Coturnix japonica: one gene and its partner. The protein of the gene in region 1 interacts with the protein of each later gene in a pairwise test. Links are inferred from orthologs where the notes say so. Each region holds a gene or a part of one and is shown in the gene's direction. Other genes may lie near its edges.

What was found.
Region 2: the proteins of RXRA (region 1) and NR0B2 interact in a two-hybrid assay, tested with the Homo sapiens proteins (2 studies listed by BioGRID and IntAct). The link is inferred for Coturnix japonica from reciprocal best matches to the Homo sapiens genes RXRA and NR0B2.

The regions. Positions count from the first base shown.
Region 1 is NC_029532.1:5,859,644-5,863,143, forward strand, and holds part of RXRA (retinoic acid receptor RXR-alpha), read left to right. Parts: intron 1-1,250; coding exon 1,251-1,380; intron 1,381-3,476; coding exon 3,477-3,500. UniProt on the Homo sapiens protein: Receptor for retinoic acid that acts as a transcription factor.
Region 2 is NC_029538.1:1,621,961-1,626,171, reverse strand, and holds NR0B2 (nuclear receptor subfamily 0 group B member 2), read left to right. Parts: upstream 1-1,411; 5' UTR 1,412-1,591; coding exon 1,592-2,117; intron 2,118-2,554; coding exon 2,555-2,835; 3' UTR 2,836-3,813; downstream 3,814-4,211. UniProt on the Homo sapiens protein: Transcriptional regulator that acts as a negative regulator of receptor-dependent signaling pathways. Specifically inhibits transactivation of the nuclear receptor with which it interacts.

The DNA.
Region 1 (3,500 bases):
TGAGCTCTCTTGATAAGCAAGTGAAGCTGGGGGACCATCCCCATAACGCTCCCCTCGACCCATGGTGCTGAGTGCCAGCCCGTCCCCATCCATCTCTGTGAGCAACAGGTGAGAATACTTTGAAGGCGGGTGTTCCTGCTCCTGCCAGATGCTGGTTATTTTAAGCCTGGAGATGAGAGATGTTGGCCACTGAGACACAGAGGTGGTGTTTGCTGCCAGGAAACAGCAGAGCCACCCAGGCAGGGGAACATAGGAATGGCTCTGGGCAGAATTGTAGGGCTTTTTCCTTTTCTCAGAGTGGCATTTCTCATCTCCCTTTGGTTTGTGAGCACACGGTCAGCTCTGCAGTCAGTAAGGGAAGGGTTCTTTCCACACTGTTTTAGTCTCTGACCTTTTCCCTTTCAATCCCCTGGGGCCAATGCATCCCTTATGGTGTGCTCACCTCCTGCTCCCTCCATGCAGCTGGGTAAAGGGCATGTATTGCATGCAGAGAGTCCCCCAGTGTACTGGGCAGGTACCCCAAAGTCCACAATATTGAGGGAATATGAGTGGAAAAGTGAGAAGTCAGCAATGTGGGTGGCAGAAAGAAGGTGAGAAGGAGGGAGCACACCATGGGACACAGACATGTGCCTGGGGCAACTCCTGCCTTGCCTGCACAGAACCCATGCCCCAGCCTCATGCAGTGCAGAGGTGCAACAAACACTCCTCCTCTGAGTTTGAAACTGTTCTTTTAAGGACATAAAGAAAAATAATTGTACAATCAGAGCTGCTAGGTATCAGTGGGGATTACAGCGGGATATGTGGAGGGGCTCATACATCCTTGTCCGGAGAGGTAAACCATATATACACACTTGTGCTGGCAGGGTCTGTCTTTGCTGGGGTTAGACGGTCTCTTCCCATTCCTAATCACAAGTCCACTTGAGCTGTTAGCAGTTCCTTTAAACAGGGATTTGGTGTGTTTAGGCTGACTGTCCTCCTTGAGAGCAGATGGTTTGTGTTACTGGGTAATATTTCAAAGGAGAGGGTTTTTCTCCTTACTGTGATGCCCGCTCCATGCTGTGGGGTGCAATGAGGAGGTGCTTACACTTGGGCTGTGCACACTGCAGGGTCCCTGCAGATGATACCCACTTAAATTGAGCACAGAGCTCCCAAACTTGGGGAGCAAGCAGGCAGCACCCCCTTCCCTCCTTCTCCTACTCCTCCCATCTTTCTCCTTGCTTTCTCTAAACCTTTCCATCTCCTCTTTGCAGCCTAATGACCCGGTGACGAACATTTGCCAGGCGGCCGACAAGCAGCTCTTCACCTTGGTGGAGTGGGCCAAGAGGATCCCCAGGTTCTCTGCGCTGCCATTGGACGACCAGGTCATCCTGCTCAGGGCCGGTGAGCCCCGATGCACTGCATCCCTCAATGGTCACGCTGGGATTTGGGTGCTGGCAACTGGAGAGGCTTTAGCTGCATCTGAGGAATAGCTTCAGATCATTCCACTGCTAACTATGATTGACAAAGCCCCAAGGGATGTATTGCTGAATGGGATCCAGAACGTTGCACCAGCTGCCAATGGGCTGAAAAATGGCCCGGCCTTGTGTGTGATGAACGAGATGCTCAGGAAATCAAGGGCATGATGTGCCAGCATCCTCCTGAGCTGGGACTGGAAAGACAAGGGGGTTTGAGTCTGTCTGAAATGTCATAGAACTGCAATGTTTGATCATAATTAAAAGCAGACGGGGGAGAAAAATATATATCGCCTTCCCACTCCCACCCACCAAGATGAAAATGAAGTTCTTTGGGTTTATTTTAAATTTCCTTATGCTGCAGGGGGTCTGGGAGGTTACAGGCTGTCAGCTGGGAAGGAGGTCTTCTTCCAGCAAGTAAACGCAAGCCTCAGCTGCTGGCAGGTCCTTCACAAGGGCTAATGGGGGGGGGGGGGGAGCAGGAAATTACAAGCAGACTCGATGAGGGTGCTTTGTAGGCACGAAGCTCTTCACATAGCTCTCATCATCAGAGAAGTGAGTACAAAGGCTTTGAGTCAACGCAGCAGTTTTGTTCCCTGAAACAAAGGGGCAGGCAAGTTGTTGGTGGGACGTGGGAAACCCCTTCCAGCAAATGACAAACTCAGTGGGAAGGAGGATGAAATTGGGATTGGAAAGGAAAAGACCTCAGTAGTTTTAATGTTCCCATATTTTCCTCCAGATGCACTTAGAGTTGTATCCCAAGTGCATGAATCCTAATAGTTCCTAAGGGTGGTGAGACATTGGCACAGGTCGTATCTCTGCAGACAGCCAAGGTCAGACTGGAGGGGCTCTGAACACCCTGCGGAGCTGTGGGTGTCCTTAATCACTGCAGGGAGTGGGACCTGATGGCCTTAAAGGGACCCATCCAACTCAAACCATTTTGTGATCCTGTAATTGCTGCAATTGTTTGTCTAAAGGGGGCTGAGGAAGGTTGAACAAGAGATTGAAGGTTGAACTGATGCTGTCTCAGTGTTGGTGAAGGGAGGGTGGGGGCTGCAGACACCATCATGGAGTTTTGTCATGGGTTCATAAGCATGAGGAGCTCCCACAGGTTCCCCACTCCCAGCATCTCTGCAGGGGCCTCAGATAACCTCCCCCAAGTCCTTTAAGCTGTGGCTTTATCTATTATTGAGTGGCGAGAGCACAGCTGCCCATGAAATATTTAAGTATTAAAATATAGCTAAGAGCCTCCATCAGGTGCACTCATGCATCCTCTGAGGCAAAACTAAGTGGAGCACGCATGGAGGAGCAGTGCTGGGTGGTGGCTGCAGCCTTCCTCTGCAGTCCTGAATCATTTAAAACCTTCCCTCTTTGGGCTTTTTGGAGGAGGAAACCCAACTTTTTTTCAGCTTGTTTTGCCTGGTTTTCCTTTGTGCCAAACCTGCTACGGCTGAGACAGCAGTAATGTTTTATAGGACTGAGAGGGGGAGAGCCTGGTTCTGGTTCCTTTTATAGGGCTGAGCCCACAGCACCTTTCCATGAGTCACCATCTCTCCAGGTCCCCTCCAGCTTCCTGCAGTCTCTCTGTTCTCAGTGTTGCAATCCCTCTGCAAGTGCCAGACCTCACCCAGCGTGTAACCAAATAAATGGTCCCTTGATTGGGGCGGAACCGTCCTGTGGCCACTTAGGGAACAGTGAACTTTATTCCCTGGTAATGCTTTGAGTGGCACAACCCATTGCTGCAGCTGTAGGTAAACACAGCACGCATGGACCTTGTGTTTATTGCAGTCAATGAGAAAAGGCACATTGCTGTGGATGGAGGGGAGCTCAAGCTGGTTTCCAAGGCACGGTCATGGCCATGTGGGATGCCCATGGAGCAGTGCTGCTCCTCCAGATACCGAGCTACAGAAGCCATGCCATCTCAGCCATTGTATGCACTGTTGCCAGGGCAATGGATGTGGCTGATTCCCACACTGTGAAGATGCACGGTTCTGAACCATGGCCTTTCTGTTGTTTTCTCTGCAGGTTGGAATGAGCTCCTCATCGCCT
Region 2 (4,211 bases), on another chromosome or scaffold:
CAAAGAGCCTGTAATCTGCAGTATGGACAGGCTATGCTGGTCCCTGTGGCTGCTGTAGGCCTCATTGCTGGGTTCACTCCATTGCACTGAGAGCTGTGTGCATTAGAGTGAGTGGTCCTTATCCCCATAGGGTTCCTATTGCTCCATTAAATCAATCAGCAGGTGCTGCCGCTTCCCCAGGCTGACTTGTGTTGGCCGACAAATGCAGGTAGATGGGTGTTTTTTTGGTGAAAAGCCATCAGTGTGGCCATCAGTTCCATCCCATTTGTGCACCAAGAGCTGCGTGCCCTTAAATCACAGAATCAATCACAGAATGACCCGGGTTGGAAGGGACCTCAAGGATCATGTAGCTCCAACCCCCTGCCTGGCAGGGCCATAAAACATACACATTTACTAGATCAGGTTGCCCAGGAGACCCCATAGATCCCCATAGAGACCCCATAGACCCCATAGACCCCATAGAGACCCCATAGACCCCATAGATTCCCATAGAGACCCCATAGACCCCATAGACCCCATAGAGACCCCATAGAGACCCCATAGATCAGGTTGCCCAGGGCCCCGTCCAACCTGGCCTTGAACACCTCCAAGGACGGGGCATCCACAACCTCCCTGTGCAGCCTGTTCCAGGGCCTAACCACTCTCCTAGTGAAGAACTTCCCCCTAACATCCAACCTAAATCTTCCCTCTTTTAACTTAAAACCATTTCCCCGTGTCCTGCCAAATCACTTGTTCCCATCCTCACAGGGTTCACCAGGCACCCCCTGTGTGAGGAATTCCTCACAGGCCCCACTGGAATCCATAATTGTGTGCTGTCATTTAACTAATGCTGATCAAAACATACAAATTCCAGAGCAATTCAAGGTAAAAACCTATAAACCTGCCTCTCACCTACCCAGCATTACTCCTTCAGCACAATGGGCTGCTGCCTTTAGGTTTAGTCTTTCAGTTCACCACCTTCCTTAACTGCAACAACACCGATCTCCTGTCAACAAGGTTAGGCAAACAGCTGCTGATAAAATGACTTCCAGGTTGCTCTTTCCAAGGCCATTTGCCATGGGGTCCTCGCTTCAGACGAACACCCTGTGTGTGTATGTGTGTGTGTGTATGTGTGTGTGTGTGTGAACTCCTTGGCAGCGACAGCTGCCAGATAGCACAACCTGATTGCAGCGTGGGGCCTTGGTGCCATGGTACAGCCCGGGTTAATGACTTTGTTTATACTGTTTGGGTAATTGTGATAAGGCTGCCCAACCCGCTGCCCCTGCTGGGGTTTCATTGAGAAAACGGCCATTGACGCCATGCTGAGATCCTGCTGGTTCCAGCCAATCAGTCTGGGGACAGCTGGGGTTGGTGGCTTTTTTTTTTTGTTGTTTTTTTTCTTCTTTAATGAGGACCGCTTAATCACGGAGCGGTCAAGGCTGGGAAGGGGTGTTCCACTTGTGACCGAGCCTTATAAGAGCTTGTTTGAACAGCCATGTGCTGGCAGAGCTGGGAGGACAGGTCACTCCCAGATTGAGACGGGGAGGAAACTTACAGGTCTCTCCCATCTGCGGAGTTTCACAGAGGATCCGGGGCTCCCAGTTCTGCTCTGATGACCAGCAGCATAGACATGGACTGCGAGAGGTGTCAGTGCCAGCATGAAGACAAACACCCAGCCATTCTCTACACCCTCCTCAGCCAGAACCTGAGCCACAGCCCACCTCACCAACGCTGCCTGTGCCACCAGCGCTGGACGGTCTGCCTCCGGACACCCCATATCACCTGCCAAGCTGCATCCGACGTGTTGGTGAAAACCATCAGCTTCATGAAAAACCTCCCTTCCTTCCACCTGCTGCCTCGAGGGGACCAGCTCCTGCTGCTGGACAGCTGCTGGGTCCCCCTCTTCCTCCTGGGGCTGGTCCAGGAGACGGTGACATTTGAGGTGATGGAGACCCCAGCCCCCAGCATGCTTGAGAAGATCCTCCTCGATGGCCAAAGCAAAAGGCAGGAGCCTGAGTGGACTCAGCCCATGCTGGCCGCTGTGCAGTGGCTGCAGTGCAGCCTCAACACCTTCTGGAGCCTGGACTTGAGCCCCAAAGAATACGCCTACCTGAAGGGAGCCATTCTCTTTAATCCTGGTGAGTGTTCAACCCTCCCAGCTCTGCCTGCTGGTGGCAAGAGAAAGCCCTGCATGAGTTAGCATTTAAAAACACTGCTCTTGGCTTGGAGTCGCTCAGAGTTTGGGCAAAAGTGTGTGTGAGAGCAGGGAGAGCTGCTCACATCATTAGCACCAGCAATGCAGTTTACCTCTGGGAAGCAGGGAGGAGGGATACTGAAAATGTAGTGTTTAAAAGCAGAGACCTCCTTACCTTGCAATCAAAGAACCCTGGGTCTTACTCTACAAAGCCCATGTTTGCTTCATTAGCTGTATTTACTCCCTCAAAGCAACAGCCCTGAAATACATGTTGTTAATGGCTCTGAGGTTTTTCTCCAAGATACGGGGAGAGAGATGGGAGAAACCTCGAGCTGTTTTCCAGCCTTCCTCTTCACATCCTTCCCTCCTTTCTCTTGGCAGATGTCCCAGGGCTGACAGCCTCCCTGTACATCGAGAGCCTCCAGCGGGAAGCCGAGCGAGCGCTTCAGGAAGTTGTGCAGATCCTACACCCCAAGGACCAGGACCGCTTTACCCTCATTTTACTCATCACCTCCACCTTGAAATCCATCCCTCCTGCCCTCATCACAGACCTCTTCTTCCGACCCATCATTGGCAACGCAGACATTGTCGAGCTCATCGTGGATATGCTGTATGAAATCACCAGCTGGCAGCCGGCTCCTTCACCACGCGTGGCTCTGTGAGCTGCTGTGCTCTGCCACAGCCCTGGGGGTGCTCAACAACACCTGGCAGGGCAGCAGGGAGGACTGTGGAGCAGGCAGTCAGGCACTCAGCTCCACAGGGCTTTGCGTGTGCCTCTCTCTAGGCTGTAGGGCTCAGAGCATAAAGGAAAGCAGCCTTGATTCAGCATGGCTGCTCCACCTCTGCCAGTCTGTTTTGAGGAATGTGAGTGTGTGTGGCTGGTGGTACTGAGTTTCTAGCAAGCAGGCCAGCCCTGTGACACAGAGCAGACTGAGTTAGAGCCTGCTCCAGGCTTTTTATATCTCAGTGAATCCTCAGTTCAATTAAAATCAATGTGTGTTTTGTTAACTCCATGAGATGAGGTTGGACCTCAACTTGCTGCCCGTGATGGCTCTGTGCTGATAGTGGTATTTAGGGGTGCTGAGTATCTTCGGTGGTATCACTTGTAGAGTACAACCAGGTGCAAGCCGTAAGGAATTAGATCTTTAAGTATCAGCCAGTGTCTGCTGTGCATGAAATCTCACAGACAGCCACCAAGAATCCTCCTCAGACAGCAGGAGGGAGAAGCATCAGATCTTACAGGGCGTGCAGCCAGCTTCATGAACGCCTCCTGCCTCTCATCACATCGCATCTCCTCCCCACGATGCCATGAGCTGCAACAGGATTGCTCACAGATTGGATTACCTAAGAGCAGTGAAACGTACGGCAAATAACGCTGCATGAACACCACTTCATCCTCCCTATACACCTCAATATATATATGGCAATACTTGGAATGGCTCAGGAACACACTGAGCTACAGACACTGAACAAACATCCCTGCCTTGAGTTCCAGCTGGTTCAACATAGTAGGAAAGCTCGCTTCTCCTGCCTGCAGCTTTTGTCACTGATGTCAGTATTTAATGAGCGGACCTTCATTTGATTTGTACATAAGATGCAGTAAATTATTTTTTTAATAAAAACGTGTCACATTTTGGTGATTTTTTGTTATATTTCTGGCATTTTGGACTTGTAGAAATAGCTGTTGGAGGTACAGTGTGGGAAGGACACCTGAATGCAGGGATGGAGCATCATAGGGAATCATAGGGGAGCATTGCAATGCAGCCCCATGAGCTGTGCTGGGCACACACTGCTCTGTGCACTGAAACCTGCAGAGGCAGCACAACTGCAGCCTGTCTGTGCTGCACCTTCCTTCACGCACACAGCCACACCTGGAGGTGCTGATGCAGGAGGTTGGTGCTGACTCACCTGGATGTGCACACACAGCCCTCAGCCCACAGGAGAACAGCCATACAAAGCCTCCTGGCTCCCCACCACCATAAACACACCGTGTTTGAACAGCAGCCTGCTGGGAGAACTGTGTGCTGCCCATCCGTGC